Diceros bicornis minor: one gene and its partners. The protein of the gene in region 1 purifies or fractionates together with the protein of each later gene. This does not show direct contact. Links are inferred from orthologs where the notes say so. Each region holds a gene or a part of one and is shown on either strand. Other genes may lie near its edges. The genes, in order: ARMC8, MKLN1, RMND5B and TCEAL9.

Region 1 (6,902 bases):
ATGTGGAGAATGGACTTGAACTGAGAGGGTAAGACACCAGATGCAGTAAAAACAATTGCAAGGACACTCTAGTACTGCAGGCACAAAATGATAAGGTCCTGAATGAGAGGGTGGCTATGGGAACAGACAGATGTGAGAAACGTTAAGAATGAAGAGCCAACAGAACTTCAAGACTGATTAGATATAGGGTCATGAAAGGGGCAAGAGTCAAAGATGATTCAAGAGGTTTAACAGTGAGTGATCAGTGAAAGTCAGTACCTTTAACAAATGGGAAGTCATGAGTAAGTCCTTCCTTTAACAGAAGGAATGTGCTTTGTTGGAAGTGATGGGTAACATTCACACAATTGAAGATGTGAGATTAGATGGAGAAAACCCAAGGCTGGCAAGGTACATGTGTGAGTTGATCATAGTTAAGGTTATAAGAGTGAATGAGATCTCTGAGGGGGGAGAAGGTATAAAGAGCCTCGAAGGGAAATCCTTTAAAACCATTTGATTTGTCCCTTGCTTGAATTATGTTTATCAAGCTGTGATAAACATTCAGACTGTGAGCTCCCTGAGGACATATCTGATCTTATACTTGCATTCTCTAAAGTATACATTACAAGGTGTTGTACACAACTGGTGCAAACTAAGTAACCTATTAAAGGAATCGATTACTTTCAAAATAATTTCTGATTAATATTTCCTGTTCCACCTGCACTTTGTATTTCAAAAAGTGGTGCTGTGGGTAGTACTTTGACAGGTACAGGTTTCACTTTAAATTAGTATAATCAATGAATTTAAACAGTTTGAATCATTTATCCAAAGCTCTGATTTCCCAAGGCTCTAGGACTGAAGAACTGACAGAGCAGACGTGGGCACTGTGAAAATTTAAAAAAAAAAAAAAGGGCTGGCCCGGTGGCTTAGCGGTTAAGTGTGCACGCTCCGCTGCTGGCGGCTCGGGTTCGGATCCCGGGCACGCGCCGACGGACCGCTTCTCCGGCCATGCTGAGGCCACGTCCCATATACAGCAACTAGAAGGATGTGCAACTATGACACACAACTATCTACTGGGGCTTTGGGGGAAAAAATAAACAAATAAAATTATAAAAAAAAAAAAAAAGCCCCCAAGGAGACTAAAGCTAAAACAAATCCCCACTAAAAGTACGAAATACTTTAGTTTTTGAATAAAACTAAACAGGAAATACTATTTACTGAGGGAGTATAACAAATGAAAATTTTAATTGTATGCACTAGTTGACTGTACAGAAAGTAAAGAAGCTTCAGGTGAAATGAAGGATAAACGAGATAATTAAAGGGAGCCAAGAACAGTCGAGGCATAGTTTAAAAAAAAATAAACATAATGAGGGAAAAGTCATTGGCCTGCTCTCCCACAAAACTTGCCTGGGTATTACAGTCAGCTGTGGGGTAATGGGCTAATCTGATTCAACACTTAGGTAAACAGTATTTCCCCATTTGCAGTTTAGAATAAGAAAAAGAACTGCTAAAATGGATCAGGGGACAAGTTTGTTGACAGCCTCCCAAAATTAAATTATCAAAGTTGCAGTATGCCACAACGCTCTAACCCTGAATCATAAGAAAACGTCCTACATGCTTCCAGATAGTTGTGTTCGTGGAAGAAGTCAGGGAAGAGAAAAGAAACCAAGGGGAGTCACATTCTAGGAACCTGACAAGCTATCTATAATCCAACTGCCCTCTCAATATCAGACTGACTTCCACAGCAAGTCTAAAAGATGGTCAACCAGTCTTTGCCTGCTTGTTTCCAACAACAGCAAATAGATCATTGGTAAACTGACCATTCTCGGAGTTGGACAGCTCTAATTTGTCGCAAAACCCTTGGAAGTTATCTCCCAGTAACTTTCACCCCGGTCCTGGTTCTCTAAAGAGCAACATAGTGAAAGGTGGAAGTCGTTTTTATTTTCTTTCATTTAAAAACAAAAAACAAACAATAACAAAAAAAACCTAGATATTACTTTCCGGCATGTCAATACGTTCCCTTCTTTCAATAATAGGAAAATCTGATCTTTTTTCCCAACGTTTGACGCTCCTTTAAAGGAAAAAAGAATGCCAGGCACAAGTTCCTTTAGACTCAGAGCTGCGACCTCCAGAGCAGACAGGAGAAAAGGGGCTTAAATAACTACATACACCCGGAGACGTTGCAGCTGATATGAAATCCCCGTTGCCAAGAAGCAAGCAGCTCCTGCCAAGTCCAGCCCGTACCCGGGTGCTGGGACGCGACAGAAGCCGCACAGACCTGGCCTGGCAGCGGCGAGGCTGTGCGGGCTAAGGAACCCGCACCTCTTCTTGCCAAAGCCGCGGGGGGCCAAGTGGGCGCTCCCTCCCGGGCCAGCGGCCAGCCCGGCGCCTCACAGGGCACAGCGCTCGGCCCCGAAAAAGAGGCAGCGCTAAGACGAAGGCTCAGTGAAGCGCCTGGCAGGGCTCAAGCCGCGCCGCCGGGCCAGCTGCCCGGACGCCCAACCACCCCGCCCGCCGGATGCCGTCCTGAGAACCGGCACCAGTGGGAGCTCCCGGAGTTGGAGACGTCTCTGGCTCGGCCGGGATCCCGTGTGTCCCGCCCGCCCACCTTCTCTCCCTCCCCGGCCCAAAGCTGAGCCGGAAGCCACCCCAAGGGGTGGTGCCCAGGAGGTCCGCCGCGTTTGGGTGACTGCTGCGGGCCGGGCCGGAGCTCCCGGGCGGGCAGGCGGCTGCGGCGGGTCACTCACCGAGAGGACGCTCATGCGGATTGGGGTCTCCAACAGGCACGCCATCTTGAGCCTTCCCACCGGCTGCAGCCGGCGCCGGCGCGGGGGCCGGCACTTTCGACAGCGAACTGTTGGGCCAACGACAGACACCTCTGCAGAAAGTCAGGCGGCTAGACGAGAAGAGACCACCTCTAGACACCGGTGAAGTACGGCCAGGGCCCGCAGAAGGGAGCAAAGGGAAACCGCACCATGGGCCGCCTTACGAAACGTCCTCTCAGAAACAGCAGCTACTCTCAGCCCGGGTTAGAGGTGGGAGCGGGCAGAGTTTCCGCATGCGCAAAGAAGATCTGCCGGCCCCACCTGCCGCTCGCGGTGGGCGGAGCCTCGGGGGCGGAGTCTGGCTCCGCCGCTACGAGTTCCACAGATTGATTCATTGCAATTTATGTTAGCGTATTCATGTTCCGAAAAACTAGTATGTGGAGTAACATACATAATTTGAAGTTCACTTTCACATTCAGTACCTCACTCCTTCTTTGCATCGAAATCCTAGCGTCGTTATTATCTCCATTTTAGAGATGGAGAAACTAGGATCTCAGAACCAGATCTACTGCCGCCAATAAGAGGGTTTCACGATCCAACGCTGAAGTGTGACCTGCTTCAGCATTATCTGCCCGACTCATTTATTGTGGTGTAGTGTTAAGAAGAGACACTCAAGAGCCAGAACGCTTGGGTTTAATCCTTGCTACGTCACTTATCAGCTGCATTACCTCCAGCAAGTTCTTGAACCTCCTTACGCTTCAGTTTTCTCTTCTGTAAAATAAGGGTTATGAGGATGGAGAACGTAAAGCTCTTAGAACATGCCTGGAACGTAGAAGGCGTTATATATGTGGTAGCATTTCTACAGCCTCTGAGTCAAGCAGAAAAAAATGGGGGCAAATATCTGAATAATCCACACTAAAACGCCCTGATAAATGAAGTCATATAAAATATGCTTCTAATTGTATTTTCTGATTGATTAATTCAGTTATCCCACTCCATTTTTGTGTGTGTATGTGGACAAAACTGCCCTGGACGTGGCTGGACAGGGTTCACTTTCGTGCTGCTCTCAACCAGGAAGGTTTTTCACAGGATTGTCGCAATGAGCCTATTACATTACATGTCTTCCTTCCGTTTCTATGCCACTCCCTAATTCAGGCTATTACCTCTCCCCTGGACTAGAGCAATAGCCTTCCAACTCTAGCGTCTCTTCACTTTGCTCCTCACTGCTCTCTTATCTTCCCTCTGTACTTGGTTTCTAAATTTATTGTAGCACTAATCATCCTTGCTTATGGGTCTGTGTTCCTGAAAAAACCGTTGAGTTGCTGGAAAGCAGGAATTTCATTTTAGATTTTCCTGCTGCTACAACACTATTTCCCAAACTTCAGTAATCAGCATGCCACCAACACAATCTTTGCCAATCTGCACCTAGATATTGTTATTTAGTCAATATTTTTCTTTAAAGTCAATTTCAACTCATTAAGTAATATTAGCCTCATCCTAAAACCATAACGCTCTGTAAAATTAAGTTTATTGTGCTCCTTTTCATTCTAGTGCACATTAACATAATAACTACAAAAACGTTTAAATGTCCATCCGTGTATCACCTAAGAGCATGTCATGTACTGCATACCACAACAGAGCAGAGTATAGCCCTTACACAGAGCATACAGAGGTATCAATTGAATTTTCAGTTGACATTTGTATGATATAGTTATTATAGCTGTATTTGGTCCACACTTCATCCATTAGCTCAAGCAATACATCCTCCAGGAAGCCCCTCCCCCAAGTATAGGTTAGGTGCCCCCTCCCCCATATCTTCATGCATCAATCTGTTCTTGCCACTAACATAGCATCTCCAACAATATATTGTAAATTTTTGCAATTGTTTAGTTGTTTGTATCGCCATTATACACTTCAGGGCAGGCACTAGGAATTTTATCTTCTAGGTCTTTTATCTCATTGCCTAGCATAGAATAGTCATTTAGTAAATGTTTGTTGAACAAATTTTTGGCTTAGTTTGGGCACCCCAAAGGCACATCCTGGGACAATGATTTGGGTGCAGGTAGTTTATTTGGAAAGTGTCTCCAAGGAACAGAATTGATGGGCCAGGGAGAATGAGAAAAGAGAGAAGAAAAAGTCAATATAAGGGTCCATCATTGAAGTCACTGCTTATTCTTTGAGGACCTCTGAGAAACAAGCAGAATGCCCCACTGGATACCCATCTTGAGGTTGGAGCATTTATCCACCATTCCCATCTACCACTCCCATCCTGTACTGATTGAGGGTTTCCCGGGCACTGTTAACTCCCTACCCTCCTGGATTGTACTTGTGCACAGAACAGAGAGGGCTGGCTTAACCTGATGTAGAAAAGCAGAATCTGTAGGCTCACTTTTGGGCTGGGATACAGGAATACAGGCAGCAGGAATCGGAGCTTGCAGCAGAACCATCATTACAGCTATGGCTGAAATTAGAATGGGGAGGGGCTCTGGAACATGACTCAAGGCATCCAACACCTCTGCTACTCAGGCTTTCCTGTTTTATTTCCAGAAGATTGACATGGCCATTTTACAGGAAGGAAGCATTGATCAGCAAACCCCTAAGCTTGAGGATCAAGGATCTCATTTCTAGTTCAAATTTTGCTGCTAAATAACCTTAGGCACACTCCCAAACCTAAGTAATGAGTAGAAATTGAGGGGTAATAAGAAATTTTGATTCAGCCTCCATGTAACAGCAACAACAAAACAGTTAACTTTGGTACTGTGGTCGGGAGAGGGAACTATCCACTGACTCCCTGAAAACAGGAAAGAAATCTCTCCTCATCCTCCATCAACTCTTATCTCAGAGCAATATTAATTTCTAAAAAAATAATGACAACAAAGTGTGAGTTTAATAAAAGAAAAAGTAGAAATGCATAACAAGAAGGAAGTAGCCAGAGAGAAATTTGAAAAGTATTTATAAATATCTAAGTGGAACTGCCAAGATAGAGAAACAAAGCCATATTTTTGAAAGTTGAAACATACCTATGTAAAAAGAGGAAAGCTTAGGGGCCGGCCCGGTGGCGCAAGCGGTTAGGTGCGTGCGCTCTGCTGCGGCGGCCCGGGGTTCGCTGGTTCGGATCCCGGGCGCGCACCGACGCACTGCTTGGTAAGCCATGCTGTGGCGGCGTCCCATATAAAGTGGAGGAAGATGGGCACGGATGTTAGCCCAGGGCCGTCTTCCTCAGCAAAAAAAGAGGAGGATTGGCGGATGTTAGCTCAGGGCTGATCTCCTCACAAAAAAAAAAAAAAAAAAAAAAAAAAAGAGGAAAGCTTAAAGTATATAAAGATGTAAAACAAGAAATGAATGGCCCCAAAAGGAATTTAGAAGAAACTTTAAAAAGATTTGAAAACAAATAAGATTCTTTAATAAATAAAACAGAAAGAGAAAATGGATTAATAGTGGTGCAGAAGAGAGAGAGTTCAGTTTAACAGACACTAAGTGTGGATTTACTTGGGCACACATTGTACTGGGGATTCAAAGTAGAATAAAGATGTGGCTCCTGCCTTCAAGTAGACAGGAATAAAAGTGAGACTCTGAGAGGTTCAGTAATTTGCTTAAGTTTGCTCAGGGAGTAAGTGGCTAAAACAATTTGGGCACAGGCTTCTCTGTTTCAAAGTCCTTCCCAGAGCTCTCACAGTCCTCTGGGACCTGACAAACTCTCCCACACGGGACTCTTGAGCACTCACCTAAGCAATCAGCCAATTAAGGAGAGTCTACAAGGGCTTTGCAATGGGAAGTAATGCATCATTAATTCATCAGGTGTTTGGAGGGTGTAAAATAGGTATATGCATAAAGCAGAAGTAGTAAGATGTTGAAAAAGTCTTTTATTAGAAATTACAGTAAAAAAAAGAAAATGTTCTTTTTATAACTCAATTACTGTTATGGTAGAATCCCAACTTACAAATGTAGAAGAAATGATGGAATTTGAAAACCAACAATTGACAACCATGTGAATTATAATAGTTTGAGGCAAGAATCATCAATGGATGTTAAAACTAGTTGGTGACGATATGATGAGAAAGAGGATATTTATGCAGTCTTAAAGTATCTCCCCACAAGTTACTAATGATAGTAGAAACCTAGTAGACATCGCTTTATTCAAGTGATTATAATTAATATCAC
Region 2 (7,662 bases), on another chromosome or scaffold:
GCCACTTTGTTAGTTTCAAAGTAAAATATGTTATCTATAACTAGATCTGCTTTAACATTTTTAAAGTCCAAATAATTCTAAAAGGGTTAGAAGGAAAAAAATTCTAAGTCCTTAGGAAGAAAATAGAGAAGTGAATTTTTCTTTTTCTCCCACGACTTCACGTCTTCACAAAACTAAAATGTTAAGTGCCTTTAATAGAAGAACACTTTCAAATCTCTGAATTCCTGTCTCTACCTTCGTGCAGAAGCAGAACAGCACTACAGAAGACCATGGAACGTGGAGCCAGACTGCCTGGGTTCGAATCCCAGCTCCATCTAGCAGTGTGACCTTAGGCAAGTTTTAATTTCTCCATGCCTGCTTCCTCCACTGAAAAATGGAGATTCCTCAAACAACTGTTGTGAGGATTAAATGAGATAATACACTTAAAGTGATCATAAGAGTGCCTAGCATATGGAAGGCACATTATTATAAGTGTTTCCCATTGTTGTTACCCCTCAAAATGCCTAGCTCCTGACTTGTAATCAATAAATACTTGCTACTCTTTACTGACAATTCAATTCAGTAAATTTCAACAAATGGCTTTACTTAAAATCAGACCTGCTTAGGAAGTACCTTAACATAACTGTCACTGCCAGTAAAGATATAGCAACTGCTGTTAGAGAGGATTTTAGGGCAATAGTAAAGAAAGTCAATCCCTTTCTCACACTTCCTATCATAACAAAGGTATAAAATCCTCACTTGCTAATGGAAGTCCAGTACCAAAAGAGTTTTACGATTTTGGCATGGCACACACCAACCCAGCAGACACAAAACTCTCAAACTCAAGCTCCATAATACTCAACTATACTCCTTCAAAGAAAAAGTTCAGACTACTCTTCTATCATAATAGTTTAGTCCTTTAAAATAAAAACTATATGCATAAGTCAACAGAATATCATAAGGATTAAATAAGACACTGTGAATGAAAGTGTTTGAAATTTAAATATGCGTTAAATATTAGTTTATGAATATATTTGAGAAAATTCTAACAGATTTCTCCAATTTCAAACTGCTGCCTTCTAACCTCAAAACTAGTGCTCTGTCCACTTCAAATCGGGGGTCAGGATGAGACATAAATCAGAGTAAAGTTGCCATCCCACTAAATCATTTCCTGCTTGAAATGTACTATTTCTTTTTTACTCAAAACTCAGATGGAACTTGTGATATCCAACTCTTACACTAGAAGTTTAAGGAGTGAAATCCTGGAAACAGCCTAACTCAAGATGATGAAAATGTCTCCACAGTTATTAGATCAAACAATGCCACCCCAATTACGAACTGTCTGTGATCCTAACCTGGGTATAGAAAAATACTGAGTATCTTCAGATTCAAGAATCTGTTAGCCCTGAAAATCAGAAGGCAAGTACCTAGAGCCACATTTCAACTCCAACTGAAAGCTAGAATGTTTCTCTGGCTCACTCTCAAATTAAAAGTTGGATTCCAGCATCAATCAGGGACACAGCCACCCAGCAGCCATCAATATGCCACACAGGCCAGATTAGACCACAGGTCACTTGGCACCCTTCACTAAACCAGATCCTACTGAAGGCCTGATTGCCAACCCTTGACCTGGCTAATAGGACAATGGGCTGGCAGTAAAAAGAGTTAGATTCTTCTAGTCACAGCTCCATTTTGAGATTACTGACTGATTTGACTAGAGAAACCAAGTTTGAGAAAACGTGAAGAATTTTTGAAATATAGGTGGAAAACTTCTTTGAGTATGCTCAAATTGTGTGACTAGATCACAGATCTAGTCACTTTATTTTTTCAGTAACATAAAAATACATTATTTGTAACTTGTTTGGTTCATAAAATCATTCCTGAGCTTGTGAGATGATGGTCCGGGGGAAAACTAGCACTTGTCTTCAGCATCTGCACAGATCTTAAAACTTTACTAAGCCAGTTTCTCTATCTGTATGTAAAATTGGAGTTTGATCTGCTCCTTCTCTCAAAGATAAGCTAAAGATAAGTAAATACTGTATGAAAGTACTTTCAGCATCTCAGAAGGAATCTGCTACAGAAAACGTATGGTAGTAAGGCAGTGGAGCTTTTTCACCTAAATCGCGGATCCAGACTAAGCCAGTGTTGGAAGTCAAATTTATTCAAGTCAGACTTTTCTACCTATACTTGAGTTTCGAGGTTGGGAAATTGGCCTGTGTCTATATGAACCCATACTCTGAGCCATCATATAACGGAACTCTTCTGTAATGTCCCTCCTACCCACTACGTTTTCCAGAACTGCCAGCCGGAAAAGATATCCTGTGCAAATCCCACAACGACTCCCCACTTGCAAGGATTCAGGTGGATTCCACAACTTTCCAGCCTTCCGTGGCTTTTTAGCCCCCCCTCTGGAGCTATTCACTTTTAATGATCCTCCCCTCCTCGGGACAGTCACTCCTCAGCTTTACACTTTTCGTGTCCCGGCAGCAATCGACTGAACCGTCCCCCGTCTCCGGCCACCTCGGACGACCTTAGACATCTTCACCAGTTTGCCCGCCGTCGGGACCCCAAAAACTCCGATTCCTGCCCCATCTCCCTGAGCCGCCCGCCCCCCAAGCCCTCCTCCACTCCCAAGTCCCCGGCGCAGCATCACCCGGCTCCCCGTTCTCCTGCGCACTCAAGACCAGCCACACACCTCGCCCCTTCCGCCAGGACCTCGCTCTCCGGACCCTCACCCCTCCCTGAGGCGGGGGCGGGAAACGCTCTCCGCGGCCGGACTGAGACTCCGGAGGCCGCGCGTCCCCCTCACCAGGCCGCGCCTGGGCCTCTCGGCTCGGCTGCCCTCCACCGCCCCCCTGGCCCAGCCGTGCTTACGCCGAAGAGTAGGGCAGCACGAGCCCAGGGCCCAGCACTTACTCGGGAAGGTAGGTGGAGGAGAAGGAGCTCCACTTGTGTAGCGCGTAGGGGAGAAGCCGGCACTCAGGCGCCACAGCGACAGCCCCGCCAGCCGCCATCTTGTCAGCACCGTAGCGGCCGCCACCGACCGCCGGCCGCGCCGGGAGGAGGGGAGGGGCGGGGCCTGCTCTTAAAGGGGCAGCGGCCCGCCTGGGCCGTCCGCTCTCCCGGTCTCGCATCGCTACCCCCGCGTGGAGGGCTGAGGCGGGCGAGGGTCAGCGATTCTCGTCTAGGATCTCCGACGCTGAACCCTCCTTAATGACTGGCCGAAACTGGGACTGGAGTGTGAGCACCTGAGGAGCTCTCCTGTGGGGCTTGGAGGGGAGTGGCACAAAGGACTTTTCTCACAAGCTGAAGTAAGGAAAAAGCCAAGAATATTATGAAAAGAAATAAATTGTAGTTGTGGGCCGGGAAGGGAAAATGAGAAGACGAACTTGGAGAAAGGACGCCTTTGCGACTTTAGAAACCACTGCCCTCTCCAGTTTATAAATCCTTTAGGGAAGCAGCATTGAGGGGAATTGGAGTGGAATAGCCAATGTCCTTTCCCTCTGGAGTTGTCCTGGTTTTAAATGTCTTGTTCCCGTGTTTCAGAGTCACATGGAGACAGGAAAAGGAGGTGCTCGGCTGTCCTCTCACCCTGTTCTGTTTTCAGTCTGTGATGCCCTTCGCTATAAACATTGGTTGTGAGCTCTCTCATCCTAATCTTGTGGAAGTGGTTTGCTCAGTAGTGACATTCACTCGCAGACCACAAAAATCCTCACGGAGTTGGGAAGCTGTGTGTCATCATTTTTCCAGGTGGTAAAGCTGCCCACTTTTAGCTCTGTCAGAAATTTAGCCCAAAAGTTCAGAAAGAGTGAGAGACAGAGAGTTTCATGAAAAAGACCACAAAGAGAATAAAAGCCCTTGTGCTCTGAATGCCCTAGGGGCATCATACCAGCTTCTCATCAAAAAAGGAACACTTGCTCTCAATATCTGGCAGCTTTAGAAAACGCTCCCATCAAGTACCTGTTTGTCAGGGTTGGCATGTTTGTTCTTTGGCTTAGCCACTGCAATTACCAAAGTCCTCGTCACTCCCTGTCTAAGAGGTTCTACCCTTGAAAACCTGGACGCTATCTTCATCTCCACCTGAAGATGGAAAAACTCATGCAGAGTTTCTCAGTGTATGACCAACTAAGTCAAAACACCTGAATAATTGTATTCTTTTCCCATTATAATCATTAACCTGCCCAAACTTCCTCGGATCCTCTCCTGACTTCCTGTTTCCATAGGGGAAAACTTAGTAGTGGCCTCCACTAGACTATCAGATCAAGAATGCCTCATAGAAAAGCCACAATATGTTAACCTTTAAAATCACATGTGCTTTGTGTGTTACAGCATGTTGGAAAAGGATTTGTTCCTTGAGGGAATGCTATAGCCCCAGTGACTCGAGTTGGGAGACCAGAGACAGTAGGAGAGGCCAGAAAAGCTTAGTCCCAAAGATGACTAGTGGTTATTTTGGGGGAAAAGAGATACTTTTAAGGGGAGAAGATTAAGATGGTGACTCAGTTCAATTAGTTTTGGGCCCTGAAATTGCTAATTCTTACCCTAATGTGAGTAGAGTCCTTGTTCTTTTCCAGAAATAGAGTTATGGTTCCTGAGTGATCTTTTTAAAAAACACATATAAGCCGGTTTTTCCTAATGTGACTTTCAATGACTTTCTATTCCCTTTGGGTAACATCGAAAGTCCTTAGCGGAGGCCTTTTGTATCCTGCCTTGATTACCTCTCCAGCCTTCTCTCTCTTCTTTTTCTTTTGCACTCTTTACTCTAGCCACACTAAACTAACACACTGAATTGTCTCCTTTAAGTTCTGTGCTCTCTCTGGCCTCCAGGGCTTAGTCCAAACCAAGCCAGAAACTCTCCCCCATTCTTCGCCTGACTAACTCCTGCTCATTTTTCAGGTTATTTCGTTCTAGAAAATCACTCCTCATCACATATTTTGGGATTAGGTACTATTTTCTACATTTCTCTTGGCACCCTGAGTTTCCCTCCTTATCTTAGCAAAAATCACAATATGTTTTAATTTCCTCTTTATTTCTCATTCTCTCTCCCTAAACTATAACTCCTGTGAAGGTAGGAGTCATGCATATCTTGTTCACAGTCATATCCTCAGTCCTATTAGAGTGTCTATCACATAGTAGATGTTCGATAAATATTTACTGAAGAATAATGAACTGTGAATAAAAGAATAAAAGAGAACTTGGGTTGCAAAGAAAAAGAATGCCAGAGCTTCTCAGACTGCAAACATGTATCCCTGAGGTACAATTGCCACAAAGAATGTAAAGACCCAGGACAGCATGGCTTTCATACAGCACACATTTTACAAGTGGCAAAGTAATTTAAAGCATTCATTTGTTAATATAAATACAGATAGATATATTATGATACTGAACCCAAAATTTGGGTAAATGTTAAGATAAAATAGAAGACTAAAGAAATTTTAAAATCCACAAGAGTCTGCTAGTTGCTCAGATCTCCTAGGGGTATACCTTTACCTCCTCTGCCTTTGGGGCATTGCCTTAGGTGGTGGGGTTTGTTGTAAGGATACATGGGGAAGGCCTGGAAACCATCACATCCATTTAGCCCCTCTAGTTCCCCCACACTTCTAAGATTGGGACATATTGATGGCTTCATGGAGAACTGGACAATGAATCATCATTTTTCAGGGATCAACAGCTCTAGTGACCCAGTCACCTTGTCATCCCCTAAAAGCAATCATCTTTTACTCTCTGATGACTTCTCAGTAGGCTTCTCATAGTAAATACTTCCCAGAGAGATAACTAATTGTATTTGGGTTGTCACCATTCACTATCTTTTCCTGCAAAAAAAGATTTATTAAGAGGCTCTGATATGCCAGGCCCTGTCCTAGATACCTAGGAGACAGGGATAAACAGAGAAGCCAGAGAAGGGCTGTGCTTTCGTGGAGCTTACATTCTGGTAGGGCAACATATAATAAATATAATAAATAAGTCAACTAGATAATTTTTGCCTGTGCGTTTTAGGTCCTAAGAAAAGACTACACCAGAGTAAAATTTAGATTGAATGGTAAAGGAAAGCTTCTCTAAGAAGGTAATATTTGAGCTAATACCTATACAATGAGAAAGTGCCAGCCATGCAAAGGCTAGATAAAAAAACATTCTAGGTAGAGAGAATAAGCAAGTGCAATGGGCCCAAGCCAGGAAAGGGGTTTGTGTGTTCATAGAATAGAAAGTGTGGCTGGAGCTTAGTGACGGAGGAGGAGAGGGGAGACAGAACCAGTAGGGCCCTAACAGTCATGGTAAGGAGTCATGACATGGAAATGTGAAGGGGAAATCTGCAGGGATTCAAGCCAAGGAGTAGCATGATCCACTTTACATTTTGTAGAGATGGCTCTGCAAAACTGAAAATGGGTTGGAAAGAGGCAAGAGCTGAAGTGAGGACTGGAAGTTATTATAATAGCCAGGCAAGAAATGATGGTGGCTTGGACTAGCAGAGGAGATGGAGAGAAGTGATTGAATGGGGACATATTTTGGAAGTAAAGCCAAGTAGACTTGCTGATGAGGGAGGGAAGGCAGGAGGAAAAGGAAAGAATCAAGAATAACTCCTGGGTTTTGGGTTTGCACCACTGGGTAGATAGCCATGCTTTTATTGAGAGGGGAGGATTTGGGATTGGTACAGTTTCTAGGTAGAAGGAATCAAGTATTCTGACTTCAATGTACTATATAAGGGATGCCTAATAGATATCCAAGTGGAATTGCCAAGTATCCGACATGGGGACCTGTATTGGTCAGAGTCTTATATCAAGCCACTTCATAGGCATTTGGCCTTCTTCATATCTAATGAATCAGTGGTTCCTTTTTTTGGCTTAGGCACTGATTCCTGGGTCAATTAATTTTTCTCTGAGTAGCAGAGTCACCATAGCTCCAGGTATAGCAGCTCTAGATAGAAGAAACCATCTGTGGAAGCCTTCTGCAGAAGGGCATAGAGGGGTACAAGAATAGTCTAGGGAGGGGCTGGTCCAGTGGCTTAGTGGTTAAGTTCACGCTCTCTGCTTCGCTGGCCCAGGGTTCGCAGGTTCAGATCCCAGGTACAGACCTACGCACCACTCAACAAGCCATGCTGTGGCAGGCGTCCCACATGTAAAGTAGAGGAAGATGGGCACGGATGTTAGCCCAGGGCCAATCTGTCTCAGCAAAAAAGAGGAGAATTGGCAACAGGTGGTAGCTCAGGGCTAATCTTCCTCACCAAAAAAAAAAAAGAATAGTCTAGGGAAAGAAACTTAGAGTATACGTTCAAAATCTTAGTTTCAGTCTCAGTTCTGCTACTTTTCTAGCTATGAGACCTTAGGAAAGTCACTTAACTTCTCTGAGTTTCATTTTCCACCACTATAAAGTGAATTTAATAAAATCTATCCTATTTACGTCACAAGAGGATTTTAAAGATCAAATGAAAAAAGAGTATTGCCTAGCTTGTCTGCTATGATATAACGTTAAGTTCTCATTTAATTCTTACAGAAACTCTGAGAGATAAATATTATTATTCCCCTTTTCACAAATGAGAAAAATAAGACTCAGAAAAGTTAAATAATTGTTTGTTATCTTTGGTTTGCCCCTCCAGATGTGTGGGAGAGAAGAGAGTGAGGTTGGGGTATTCCTTCCCCTGACTCCCTGTCTGTAAGGTCACTCTAAGTCAACCAAAGGTCACAAGTCCTC
Region 3 (7,558 bases), on another chromosome or scaffold:
TCTCTGAGACTGGGGGCTGTAAGTATTAGGGAGCCTTTCTCTAAATGGGGTGCAGGCCCCACAGTGACGATTCAGATTGCATAACCCACCGCCCTATGGGCACTTAGGCTTCTATACTGGATTCAGAAAAGAAAATGCCATTTCAGGCCTGCCCCGTGGCTTAGCGGTTAAGTGTGGGCGCTCCGCTACTGGCGGCCCGGGTTCAATCCCAGGCACGCACCGACGCACCACTTCTCCGGCCATGCTGAGGCCGCGTCCCACATACAGCAACTAGAAGGATGTGCAGCTATAACATACAACTACCTACTGGGGCTTTGGGGGAAAAAAATAAATAAAATTATTAAAAAGAAAATGCCATTTCTCGCAACAAAAACAAAGTGAAATGTGTCACGAGAGGTGAGCCTTGAGTGCGATGGGAGTTCAGAGGATAGCTGGCTCACCATTCCAGGTGATGGGGGGGGGTGACAAGGGTTGACCAAACTTTGGTCAGGTCCTTCTGAGCTCTCTTTTTCACTATACCTGACCTTGGGCTCCTGTGTCCTTCCTTGTTCAGTCCAGTTCTAGCAAGAATCCTGCTTAGTTAGTTTAGCCAGAATCCTCCATCCTCCATATCTGATCACCCTCTATCTAATCTGGTTCTTCAGCCCCGGTCATCCCCCAGAAAGTATCTGATCACCCTGGCCTGCCTTCAGCGAGAATCCTGTGAGGTTCCTTTAGCCAGGATCCCCCCTGCCCCCTGAGGTTTCCTTAGTAATTTTCCATCCACTGACCCCACCCTGCTCCTTGGCTGTAAATTCTACTTTTCCTTGTCATATGTGGCATTGAGCCCACTCTCCCCTACTATAAAACCCCGTTGCAGTAGTCCCCCTTGAATAAAGTCTTCTTACCACTCTTGAACAAGTGTCATGAGTAATTTTTGTCTTTACCACGGGTGAGCTTCTCTGAGGAGGGGAAGTTGGGGGGCTTTCCTCTGGAGCAGTATGGGATTAGGGCATCACAGGATGGGCTTGGACTTGGACACAGGGAAGTGTGGGGCAGGTCCAGGGGAGGGTTCTTGCTGGAAGGGCTGAGGGAAGGCAAGACAGGTCCTGGACAGCCTAGTGAGCTGGCACAGAGGACTTCACCTCCTGTGACTGGGTGGGTCCCTCAGGCAGCCAAGAGGAAGGGCCAGAACCAGGACTAGTTTATGTGTGTGTCACCTGTAGTCCCAAAGGGCCCCCCGCTCAGAGGGGCCTACACTTTATGTGACAGTACTCTGTTGTCCCATCTTGAGTTCCTTAACAATGTTTGAACAAGGGGCCTCGTATTTTCATTTTTCTCTGGGGCCTGCAAATTATGTAGCCACTCCTGGCCTGAACCAAAGCTTTCAAGGAGGGACAGGAACAGGAAGAAGGAGCGGGAGACGTTGGGAGCCACCTGTAGGCTGGAAGGAAGAGACAGGGCCTGAGCAGCAACTCTGGCTCCATGGACTGAGCCCTGATGCTCCTATGTTCCCCAGAGGAGGACAGGCAGTGGCTGCATCACCCACCGCTGCCCCCACCCCACCAGCTGTCAGGAGGGTCCATTTTTTCCTGGCCTGGCCTTCCAGGACTCGGTCTGGGAGGTGAAGGAGGCTGTATTTTCAGGAGAGCACTCCAGGGCTTGCCCTCTCTGTCAAGAACCTTTATCTATTTATTTATTTATTTATTTAGTTAGTTAGTTAGTTAGTTAGTTAGTGAGGAAGATCAACCCTGAGCTAACATCCATGCTAATCCTCCTCTTTTTGCTGAGGAAGACCGGCTCTGAGCTAACATCTATTGCCAATCCTCCTCCTTTTTTTTCCCCAAAGCCTAGTAGATAGTTGTATGTCATAGTTGCACATCCTTCTAGTTGCTGTATGTGGGACGCGGCCTCAGCATGGCCCGAGAAGCGGTGCGTCGGTGCGTGCCCGGGATCGAACCCGGGGCCAGTAGCGGAGCACGTGCACCCAACCGCTAAGCCATGGGGCCGGCCCGTAGAACCTTTTTTTAAAAGAGATTTATATAGTGTCCTCTGTGTACCTGTTCCCCCACCACCATTTTTAAGGTATATTTTACATACAGGAAAATTCACCCTCTTTAGGGTACTGTTTTTAGAGCTTTGACAAATGCAGAATTGTATAACCAACCCTACAATCAAGATATAGAAGAGTTCCATCATCCCCCCAAATTCCTCTGTGCCCTTCTGTAGTCAGCCTTCTCCCCCACCTCCAGGCACCGGTGATCTGCTTTCTCAATAACTTTGTGTTTTTCTTTTTTTCCCTTTTTGTGAGCAGTGTTTAATCCTACCATATATTAGAACATATCGCAAATTAGCAAGTAAAACAGTATGATATTGCTGTAAAAATAACACTACACCTCAATGGAAAGAATGAAGAGCCAGAAATAGATTCTATACTGTAGAAAAATCTTAATATTATGATAAAGGGCTTCAAAACAAAAGGGTAAGGAAGGATTATTTAATAAGAGGTGCTGGGGTAACTGAACAAAAATATGGGAAAAAAATGTCATACTTTGCACCACTCCCCGCAAAACAAAATGGACATGTATTGAGGAGTTAAATTTTAAAAGTCAAATCCTAGGAAGCTAGCAAAAAAGTTAAGCAGACTGTAATCGAGTTAGAGGAGAACAGCTCAGTTTTTCTGCTTTGAAGCAGCCCTACCCTCAACAAAAACAAAACACAAACACACAATCCCAGCGAGGAAAGATTGACAAAATCAGCTACGTAAAAAAACTTGGTGCATCCTAAAAAGTAACAAAACCGCAATGCAAGGAGAGCCACATGCTGGGGAAAACCATGACAGGCAGAGGTGACAGTGCCCGACATACAGACGTGCCTTCAAAGTTCCCAGACAAGCAGGCCAGGGCTCCCAGAGAGGAAGTGGGGAAGCCTGGGGCGTTGGGGAAAGCCTGTGAGGTCCTGCTGGCTTCCAGGCGGCCTGAGCCTCGGCCTCATGGCCCCAGGCAAGGTTCACTCAACCCTCCAGCCCCTAGCTCCCCCATGGGCCAGGACCACCCAGGCTCTAAGCACAGACCGGCCTCTCCAGGATGCTCCAACGCCTTGCGGGCTCCCTCCCCGTGGGTCTGTGGACCCCCGTCTTCCCTACGTATTTCGTCAGGTGGAGGATATTGGCTACCTTAGAATATTTCTAAGCACCTACTATGCTCCAAGCACATGGTGTTGGGGATATAGAAGTGAGGAGTACGAAGTCCCGGCTCCAATGGAATTTTTATCCTAAAGGGGGAGAGGTGTTAGGGGCAGGAAGACAGAATAAACAAATCAACACGAGATAATTTAAAGTCAAATGCTATAAAGAAAACAAAACTGGATTGCGCAAGTGCTATACAGAGAACAGAACAAGATTGTCAAGGGGGTTTGTGGGTGGGGTGGGGGTGGTGAGGAGGCGAGGAGGATTAGAGGGGAGGATGCCCTGGAATGGGGCTGCCCCAAAAGGAAGCAGGAAGTCAAGGAAACAGACTGAGCCTTTTCTCCCAGGCTGTTTCTAGTCCAAGTCCCTGAGGCCTGTGGAGCGGTGGGAGCTTCTCTGCTCCTCCCCTCCAGAGCAAGGGCGCCTGGGAGGATCATAAATTCAGTTCTGAGCTGGGTCTGGGGTCACCGCCTCCTCTCTCCTCCTTCTTAACCCTCACCCTTCCTCCTTAGGGCAGTTGTGCAACCCCCATCTTTCCCCAGACCCCCAAGGAGGGCGACCAATGGAGGACGGCAGGGCAGAAGCTGGGTCCCCCCCAGCAGACTCTAATTCCCCTATTGAATGTCCAGTGGGTAGATTAAGTACAGGATTAGGGGATCAGCAACGGTGCATCATTTGATGTTTCAAAAACAGCATCAAGGAGCCATCGCAGGAAAGCCTGACATGGGCCCCCTCCCGTGCGTTGTGCTGTTCGGTATTGGCTTTACTCCAACGAGGTCGGGGGGCGGGGGAGGCAGTCTCTTCTGGTTTAGGGCTGCGGAACGCGGCGCCGCGGCGCCGGGACGGGGCGCGCCCGGTGGGCCCGCCGGCTCCTCTTCCGGGTGGGGAAGTCGCCTGCCCCGCGCACCACGCCGGCTAGCGCGTGGGGCGACCGAGTCCTTCCCGCCGCCGGGGCAGGTGGCGGCCCGGCAAGGGCCTTTGGGCCCCGGAGCCCCGGCGCGGCCCGGACGACTCGACTGCTGGCGCGCGGGGGTGGCGGGGGCCCGCGGGGACGCGCGCGGGACTGCTCCCCTCCGGCGAGCCGCGAGTGGGCGGGCCCGGGCGGCTGAGCAACAGCCGCCGCTTCCGGTTCCGATGACAGCGCGCCGGAAGCCAGGGCCGGGCTGCCGGGCAGGTGAGAGACGGCGGCTTCCCGGCCGGGCGGGGCGGGCCGAGGGCGGGGCGCCGGGTGGCGGACGGCCGCGGGGGTCGGTGGCTCGGCCGGGCCCCAGGCCCCGGGCCGTCTCGGAAGCCCCCGACTCCGCCCCCGCTCCAGTCCGCCCTCGGGCTTGCTTTATCCGCAGTCGTGGTCCCGGGCCTGGAGCGGGAGTCCCACAGACTCACAGGACCGTCGAGGAGCCGCCTCTGCCGGGGGAGTCGCTCGGACCCGGACGTCCCACCCTAGTGCCACCTGGCCGGGTCGGAGGTAACTCACTGCGGATGAGGGGGCCAGGCGGGGCAAGCGAGCAGGGTCTTTTGAAGGATGAGTCGGAGTTTGCCAGTCACTTGCACGTTAATGTAGCTGAAACTCCCAGTAGGTGCTGCAGTCCACCAGTTTTGGTTAATGACAAAAGAAAGATTTGAAACTTCAAATAGAGATGTGCAATGAAGAAAAGGAACAGGGTGACAGGACAGAGTGACTAGTGTGGGGGTGGGGCAGAGGTCAGCATTAGATACTGTGGTCTAGGAGAGCATCTTTGAAGAGATAACGTTTGCCCTGAGACTGTAATGAGGAGCCAGCCATGGGAAGATCTGGGCGAAGACTGTTCCAGGCAGAGAAAACAGTCAGTGCAAAGGCCCTGAGGCAGAAATAAAGTAGATGTAGTCAAGGAACAGAAAGAAGGCTACTGTGGCTGGAGTTATGGCGAGTGAGGGGGAGAGTGATAGAAGATGAGGTTGGAGAGGTGGTTGGGAGTCAACTCACATAGAGCCTTGTAGGCCATAAAAAGGAGGGTTTATTTCGTTCTAAGTACAATGAGAATTTGTTGAGTTTTAAGCAGAGGAGTGATGTGTAGGGTGGAGAATGGATAGAGGTGGGGGGTGCAAAAGAATAAGTGTTGGGTCACTCTCCAATTCTGTGTTAGGCAAAGGGGACCTCCCTATGATTTGCACAAACTTCCCTTCTTCCCCCTTGCCCCAGAAGGGACTCTCTTGTTTCAGGGTGCTGAAGACTGGGAACAAAACCTCCATGCATGCCTTGGTGGGAATTTTAATATTTCACTCATGTCTCTTCCCGCCCACCTCCCGCAGGTTTGAGCTCCCGCTCCCTAGCCCAGGGGTTAGGAAATGTCTGCACTGTTTAATCAGCAAATGTTCACTGAGCACCAGCTATGGACCAGGCCCGGGGCTGGCACTGAGGGGAGAGAGAGGACGAGACTGGACTCCAGCCGTGAGCAGCTCACAGTCCAGTGGGGGAGACAGACGTGTGAGCAGGCAGTTACTGTGCCAGAGCTGAGGACTCAGCTGTGTGTGGCAGGGGCGTTCTCGACAGGTTTGTGCAGCAGAGGAGAAGGCAGGGAGATTTCATTGAGGGCTTCATGGGGAGCTGATGATTAAACCACATCTTGTGTTCTCCATGCAGAGGAGTGCGGAGGGCACTCTGGACATAGGAAAGACTTGTGCAAAGGAAGCGAATGTACAATTACAAAGGACTTGTCTGTCAAGCTATGGCAGGGTTGAGAAAGGGAGATAGGATCTGATGTGTCATTTTGGTGGGATCACCCTGGTGGATAATTTCTGTACATGTGAGACCTTGGGGAGGAGGGCTTAGGACAATGGACATGAAATTCCATTAGATTAATCATGCGGTTTGTGAAAGACAAACTCACACACTCATCCATCCTGGTGTCTGGTAAAGATGGCCGACTGTGATCCAGGCAGAGTGGCTCACCCTGGACAGACTGAATTAGCCTCCTGGGCTTTTTGGATGGAATACTCACAAACAGTTTTGTTTTCCCAGGTCATTGATTTTATTTTTAAATTTTTTAGATTTAATCACACTTCTCAGTTCATTGTACATTTAATTGGTCCATGCAGGGCCGTTTTCTCCTTTGTGTTTATCTATGTATTCCTTTTCATCCCCATTCCTCCCTTCTTCCCCCACCATAGGAAACCACTCGGATGTGTTTGGTGTATATCCTTTTATTTGCATGCTTGGTTGTATGCATATATTTTTAATTTACATAAGTGGTATTTTGCCTAGAGTTCATTTTGTTACTTTTTCCCCCTCAGGACCACATTTTGGGATCTAATTGATGTTGCTGTGGGATTATCTGAAACATGGTTTCTAAATGCTACCCCGGTTTCCGTAGATGCATCCCCCACATCTTATTTCCTTGGCTTATCAATTCCCCCAGTGATGAGGCCCTAGATTGGCTCCCATTCCCTGCTACAACATATAACTGGGATAAAAATCCTTGTACCCATCTCCTCCCTCAGCCTTTTAATACAGTTTCAAGATGCTGACTTGGGCTTCCCTTTGATAACCCTGGTATCACTTGGTGCCTGACATGGGCAGAGTGTTTGACCTTGGTGAGGTCCTGACCTTTCTTGAGCTGTGTTTATTTTTGGTCAGTTGTGATTCTGGTTCCCAGACACTCTTGGCAAACATTCTTTTGTGCTGTCATCTTTCCTAGTTGATCATCTCACAGGCTCTGTGGTTAATTTCCTGTTTCTTGTCATCATTAATCGTTGCTGTACGCTCATTCCAACCACAACTCTTGGCTGCTTTCCTTTCCTGGTGAGACAGTGGCCTGTGAAGCTGGTCCAGAGAGGACTGGGGATATGAGGTGCTTCACAGAAGGGCTCTGGAGCCAGACTGCCCAGCTTCAGTTCCCAGGCCCTCCACCTCCCCGCTGAGTGACCATGGGCAACTTATTTAATCTTTGTGCATCTCATTTTCTCATCTGTAAAGTGGGTCTAATAATTGTACCTACCTCATAGTGCTTTTGTAAGAACTAAGTAAATTAGTTAATGTATGCAAAGTCATTAGAACAGTGCCTAGCACAGAATAAACCTCTAAGAAATGTTAACTACTAACAGCAATATTAATAATAATTACAGTATTTCAGGTAGGAGTCTCTGGTATATTTTGCCCATAATGGCTCACATCCAGTTATAGAGTATTTGCTCAGGGGGCATGAAGAGGGGAACATGTCTTCTGGACACCATGATTACAAATTCTAGTGTGAGCATCACCTGTAAAGAGGGAAGGCATAAACATGTCTCAAGCCCCTGAGTGCCATTTCCCCGTCACTTGTCCCCTGCCTGGTAGGGAGACAGTGGCTACAGGCTGGGCTGAGATGATGAGGCCAGGACTGACAGTGCTGGTGAGGATGGGAAGAGAGTCTGGTG
Region 4 (6,047 bases), on another chromosome or scaffold:
GAGAACTACTTTCTCCGCCCTCCCAAATAGCTGAAACAAATCCCTCAGGAGTTGGGATCCTGCATGGGCAGATAGGGAAAAAAACCTGTCAAATATAAGCTCATAGTCATTACCTTATTTGGTCCTCACAAGATCCCTTAAGAGATCATTATTATCTCTATTTTGCAGATGAGAAAAGATTTAAAACCTATTCTTCTAGCTAAGTGGTCTGGTGGTTATTTGGAGTTGACATTTGCTTCTAAAGTTCTGTCAACAAATATTAAGTGCCCCAGTGCCTTTAGAAATAAACTGATAAGTGCTGTTGGTTACTTATTTTTTTATTATAAACTTTTTATTATTTTAACAATAATGTGTGTACATTCTAGGAATAAGGAAAAATACAAATAAGCAGAATAAAAAAATCACTCATAATCCTACCCGACTGTACTTTTTGTCTTTCATCCTTCATGCATTTTCTGTGCATATATGTATTATACAAATGTACTATTCTTTCAAAAATATGATATCCACATATTACTTAGTAACCTTTTTTTATTTTATATCTTGTCAGGAAACTCTTTTTGTACAAATGAGTAAAGCTCTCCTATTAAAAGGCAGAGATTTGTAGATTGGTTCAAAATATGATACACAATGAGATGCAGATAACAAGAGATGCATCTAAAACCACTAATAGCAACAAATTAAAAGTAGAAAGATGGACAAGGGTATATCAAGAAAATTCAAATCAAAAGAAAGCTATATGGCAATGTTAATATCAGAAAAAATAAAAATCAAGGTAAACTACATTAAATAGGGGTAAGGATGGTTTCGATTAACCTTCCAACGCATCACTATAAGTTTGTTTCTTACTCTCCTTATCTCATCTATTTCATTTACTTCTCTAAACATATCTTCCTTGCTTAAATGCCTGTTGTGTATATCTTCTTTAAATTCCTGGAGAGATTGAATCAGCCTTTCTCTAAAAGTTCCTTCTGTTTTTTCCTCCTCCTCTGGCTCTTCCTCCTCCTCTGGCTTTTCCTCAGGCTTTGGCTCTTCCTCAAGCTTTGGTTCACTCTCATTTTCTGGTCTTCCTTCAATTTTTTGACAGGGTTTCATCTTGTGTCTCTCTTCCTTCCTTCCTTTCTATTTACTCCTCTTTAAATACAATTACTTCTAGGAAGCAAGAAGGAGACAGTAAGTCAAAAGCTTGGTGAATGGACCAGTGCTCTGGACAGTCTCAGTATTTGCTTTCTTTGATTCAGAGCTCTCATCAAATATCTTCCACCTGGGAGACTCAGTCAGCAATCAGGGCTGAGCCCGGGGCTCTTACCTCCACTTTCCACCTGCTCACCTCTCGCTTGTCCCTTCCTCCAGCCGTTTTCAAGGCCCTACTCAACAATTTCTCCCGCACAGGGCATAACGCAAGACCCTCTTAGAGCAGAGTATGCTTGGAGAAGGTGAGAGAGAGGAAAAGTGGGGCCCACAACATCTGTCCCGCCCTCGCCCACCTCCACCCCAGGGATCTTTATAATATTCCCCTCACCTACCTGTACTGATCCAGTCACTTTCTTCCTCACCTTTTTTACCCTTGTGTAAGTGCTATGAACAACAGACCTGCGGACAAATGGGAAACGGGAGGGGGAAGGGGTGGGGAAGGGGAAGGGGATGGGGGTGGGGCGAGTGCTTGGTAGGTAGACCAGCACCACGTACCTTTTTCCTCATTAAGATTCTAGGTTATGGAAACTTTCTCACCTTCTGTTTCCCCCAGTTCTCCCCTTCTCCCCAGTGCAAGTCAGCTCGAATTGCCCATCACACAGGGAGTAGGAAAAGCAGATTATTTCCAAACTATCTCTAAGACTGTGGCGGGGGCTAGGGGGCAGGGTAGGCGTTGGGAAAGCTGTCTGAGGCAGCAGAGGATGATAATTTTTAAACTAGCACTGGTCTTTTTGTCTTTCTCCCGGGACCCCTAGTTCCTTTCCCAAGCGTCATTATTTCCTGCAGACCTGGAGGTGGGAGGTGGAGAGATGGACTTGACCAGGACACCCTCAAGTCTCTGCCCTACGTCACCCCCACTCTAGAAATCCCTAGGCAGCACCTATTTTGACACCAACCTGCAAAAGTCCAGCAAGTTGATTCCTTCTCCTTCCCCTGGCCTCAGGCCCCACCGTCCGCGCTGCTGAAGGAAGCTGGTACCCAGACGGGAACAAGGACCAGACTAGCAGGACTTCTGCACACGTCGACTCCTGGTCACGTGAGACCTACGTCACCAGTGAGCTCGGGTCCCCACTTTCCACTCCCATCAAAAGCGCGGCAGAAATGGGCCCTCCTTCTGCTCCCTCCCCCCGTATACATTTGGTCCTGTCAGTCTTTTTTGTTGTTGCCTATTCCAGAGGGAAAAATGTTATTTGCCTTTCTCTGATTACTAGGGAGGGGCTGCATCTTTTTCTGGAGCTACTAAACTTTTCTACTTCTTTCAAGAATTCTCTTCCTGCCTTCTTTTCCCAGGATTAAGAACTCCTACATCCATCGCCCCTCCCCCAGCCTCCATTTCATCTGCAATCTGGTCCTTGGCTGTTGTGGAGCAGGGTTGGTTTGGCAGCGGATTGTGAAAAAAAAAAAAAAAACAGCCTGGGACAGGAGTGAGATTTTTGAATGTAGTTTTTACTTTATTCTTAGTACATTTATATATATATTTTAAAGTAACTTATATGAGTTAACACATCTACAATCCTGAGAATAGTGCCTGGCAAGTGCACTATTGTGTACAAGCTATTATTATAATTATACTAGGATTTCATTTGGGGAAAAGGATTCAAAATGAAAAAAAAAAAAAAGTAATGCTTGACTCCAGAGCCCTGGTGACATTATTTGCCAGGAAGCTGTGCTGCCTGCAGAGTCATCGTCAGGTACACATTGTGAGCCTGAGGTTCCTCATCTGAAAGAAGGGAATAATAACATACACCTCATAGAACTGACTCTTGGGAATTCTAAATGATAACACTTGGCTCAAAGTACTTGGCTAGTATAAACCCTTCAACAGATATTGGTTACCCTTCAACCTCACCTCAGTCTTTGGTAAAAGTCACAAATTTGCCAATAACAATTGCATAGCTCTCAGAGATAGCATTTGAAAAATAACAGGAGAAGTCATAAACGTCTACTTTAGTTTTGTATAAGTTTCGGTGCCCCCTTATGAGGCAGAATAAAGAGCTCAGTGGATTATGGGGAAAGAAAAAACCCTCACCCTATGTCATTTTATTTCACCTGTTCTTCTGTCACATTATTCTATCTTCTGGGAAGCGTGTGTATTTGAGCACCAGAAAGCCCAAGATATAGTGGTTTTGGGTTGGCTGAGCAGAACACTGGTGTGAGAGACAGGAGATTAGTTCCAGTGCCAGACCTAGAACTGACTGTGTGACCCTTAGTAAGCTACTCTCCCTGTACTGTCCTTACCTCTAAAACAGGAGATCACAAGCAAGCTCTCAGAATTTTAGAAAGAAGCATGTGATTAGTGAAACATTTGAATTTATTGCCCTTAGGAAGATTGAAACATCCTGAATGGCAGCTGCTTTTTTCCAGCGTGGTGGAAATGGTTCCAGAAATCCTCAAAATGTCCTGAAAAGGGAAAGGTGCTTTAATGCCATTATTTCATTTTATACTCCCAAAAACTGCGAGGAAGATATTTTCATTTTCTATATAAAGAAACTAAACAGAGTTTAAGCAATATGCCCAAAGGCATTATCTCCTGCAGCAAAGTTAGGCTCCTCCTGGGTCCCCTGGAGATAAGCAGGCCAGAGGTGCAAGGCCTAGCAGGCTGCATCCCTCTAACAACATGTAACTGAGCCAATTATTTATGAAGATGAAAACTCCCAGAAGTGGAAAAGATAGATCATTTGTCTAAAACAGGACAAAAATAAGACACTTATTAGGGTCTACAGGGATTAATGTACTGAATACACAAAATGTTGATTTGCTTTAGAAAAACTTGTTTCAAATTTTCAAACTAATTAGCCTGCTTTTTTTTAAAGCTATTTGGGAAGTACCATCAGAAACATTCTCTAATTGATAAATATAAACATGACCAAGTTATGGAGGATTTCCTATTTAATAGAAAATCTCATTTTTTATTGTAAATTACTTTTCTTCCTAAAGAGTATATCTTAAAGGTTGTGAGCAATTAACATGTTTTAAAAATTTTCTCTTTCCTTTGTAGCAGCTGGAAAATATTTTCTATGATGTGATATGTTAATTCAGCCAAATAGCAAGGTACCTCAATGAAAAGAGAAATCTTGGGATAAATACTCATTCTCTTCCTCCCCCCAAAATGTAAGTATTGTATTTCTGTAATGTGAAAACAAAGCATTTTAAATTTAAAAATTGGAACAGAAAAGTACATAGAAGAAAGTTAATGTTCCACTTTGCACTCCCAGCCTCCTTTCCTGACACTTAGCTTCCTGGCCATTTAGGTGCAGGTAAGGGCCTCAGGGGAAAAATAATGACTACAGGGAGATGAGGAGGGGAGAAGGAACAGGTTGAGGGGCAGTTAGAACAGGGGAAAGGGCTAATTCCACAAGAATTCTAAGTGGACAATAACTCCAACAGAAAATGCTGCCTCTCCCTGATAATTAGAGAAAGCCAAATACTACATCTGGTCTCCTGAAATGCCAAGGTGGAAAAATAGACATTCCAGATCCGGGGTGACGGGGGAGGAGGAGGGGTTGAGGGTTTCCGCTGCCCTGCTTGAGTGGGAGGGAGGATTGAGAGCCTGAACTCTTCTGTGATGTGGCCTTCACATGAAGAGAGTCTACCTGGGCCCAAGTCCCTTTCTTCCTGTCTTTTGTATGCTCTGAGTAATGATTCCTGTTGCAGAGGAAGAAAAACTTCTGGTCAAGGAATAAGGGAAAAACAACTGTCCCGGAAAGCCGTAGGTTTGTGTTCTGACTGGAGCAGCCTGGGGTAACCCTGGCATCAGGATGGTTGTCGGCTGAGGGCAGAACCCTCAAGTGGCTCCGAGTCTGCGTTCTTGATACCTTTTCCTTATCCAGAGTCCATTTTGGATGGTCCTGGGGCGGCAAGCGGTATATGAATATGGGTAGATGAGTATATGCTGGAAAGCTTTCCACTCATACAACCCCCGCTCCCCGTGCCCCACGCCCATTTTGGTGCAAAACATTTTGGTAGTAGAGATGTGGAAACGAATCACAAGAGAAGGAAACAGACATGGAGGGTAAAAGTTCTATCTAAATAGTTTCCCCTCTTCCACCATTGTGGGTATCTAAAAAACCAGGAGTACCAGAGGCTTAGGATGGCTTCGGAGAAAGAGGGAGGATAAGGAGGGACCAAGTTGGGCGCTAGGAGACGCAGGGCGGGTCTGGGACTGAGCCGGGCGGCGGCGGGTCCGCACTGAGTTCTCGGCTGCAGCAGCTCCCGCTTCCCCCACCCCAGCCGTCTGTAGGTCTGAGGGTCAGCGGGTTCAAGGCCACAGACTTCGCTGAGATAATGGGAAGTAGGAGGAGACAGCAAGGACAGGCGGAGGTCGATGCGCCGGACAGTGGTGGGGCGTGGAAACGAGGCTCCCCTTGGGATTCTCCCTTTTGGGGCCTGCATAGGCCTGGGGAAGGATCCATAGGGAAAATGGTGAGCTTTAGAAGAGGGAGGAGAGAGGAGCAAGCGCGAGGGAGGAGCTCCGGCTGGAGGCCCCCTAGAGGGCGCAGGAGTCCTCTCAGGTTGGAAAAATAGAATTTAAAAAAGACGTTGATATATGAAATCTTGAAAGGTGCATAGTAGGGCCTCTGTCCTCGGTGCTGATCTTTCCACCAAGTATTCAGTCCTTTTGCTTGCTTTTGTCTCCTAGGAGTAATGGAGTCCAAAGTGGAATAAACGGAGGAAAAAATCTCAACATGGAAAATATCCTCCAGGAAAAAAGGAAAAAGAAGGAGGGGAACAGGTCCCTGTGTAGAATGGAGAGGAAGCTCGCCCTGTGGCAGAGAATGAAGCAAGGAGCCTGAAGGCAATATTAGAGGGGGTTGGGCTCCACTTTCCCAGGATTTTAGAGGAGGTGTGCTCAA

Evidence for each region.
Region 2: the proteins of ARMC8 (region 1) and MKLN1 purify together in Homo sapiens (affinity purification with mass spectrometry; 4 studies listed by BioGRID and IntAct, with this or other methods). This does not show direct contact. The link is inferred for Diceros bicornis minor from reciprocal best matches to the Homo sapiens genes ARMC8 and MKLN1.
Region 3: the proteins of ARMC8 (region 1) and RMND5B purify together in Homo sapiens (affinity purification with mass spectrometry; 4 studies listed by BioGRID and IntAct, with this or other methods). This does not show direct contact. The link is inferred for Diceros bicornis minor from reciprocal best matches to the Homo sapiens genes ARMC8 and RMND5B.
Region 4: the proteins of ARMC8 (region 1) and TCEAL9 purify together in Homo sapiens (affinity purification with mass spectrometry; 3 studies listed by BioGRID and IntAct, with this or other methods). This does not show direct contact. The link is inferred for Diceros bicornis minor from reciprocal best matches to the Homo sapiens genes ARMC8 and TCEAL9.

Annotation. Positions count from the first base shown.
Region 1 is NC_080741.1:15,010,652-15,017,553, forward strand, and holds the start of ARMC8 (armadillo repeat-containing protein 8), read right to left. Parts: upstream 3,007-6,902; 5' UTR 2,769-3,006; coding exon 2,724-2,768; intron 1-2,723. UniProt on the Homo sapiens protein: Component of the CTLH E3 ubiquitin-protein ligase complex that selectively accepts ubiquitin from UBE2H and mediates ubiquitination and subsequent proteasomal degradation of the transcription factor HBP1.
Region 2 is NC_080742.1:79,614,388-79,622,049, reverse strand, and holds the start of MKLN1 (muskelin), read right to left. Parts: upstream 3,018-7,662; 5' UTR 2,994-3,017; coding exon 2,896-2,993; intron 1-2,895. UniProt on the Homo sapiens protein: Component of the CTLH E3 ubiquitin-protein ligase complex that selectively accepts ubiquitin from UBE2H and mediates ubiquitination and subsequent proteasomal degradation of the transcription factor HBP1.
Region 3 is NC_080740.1:90,962,676-90,970,233, forward strand, and holds the start of RMND5B (E3 ubiquitin-protein transferase RMND5B), read left to right. Parts: upstream 1-4,549; 5' UTR 4,550-4,631; intron 4,632-7,558. UniProt on the Homo sapiens protein: Core component of the CTLH E3 ubiquitin-protein ligase complex that selectively accepts ubiquitin from UBE2H and mediates ubiquitination and subsequent proteasomal degradation of the transcription factor HBP1.
Region 4 is NC_080781.1:96,198,141-96,204,187, reverse strand, and holds TCEAL9 (transcription elongation factor A protein-like 9), read right to left. Parts: upstream 2,208-6,047; 5' UTR 2,091-2,207; intron 1,594-2,090; exon of another isoform or gene 1,527-1,593; intron 1,153-1,526; exon of another isoform or gene 1,150-1,152; 5' UTR 1,096-1,149; coding exon 781-1,095; 3' UTR 514-780; downstream 1-513. UniProt on the Homo sapiens protein: May be involved in transcriptional regulation.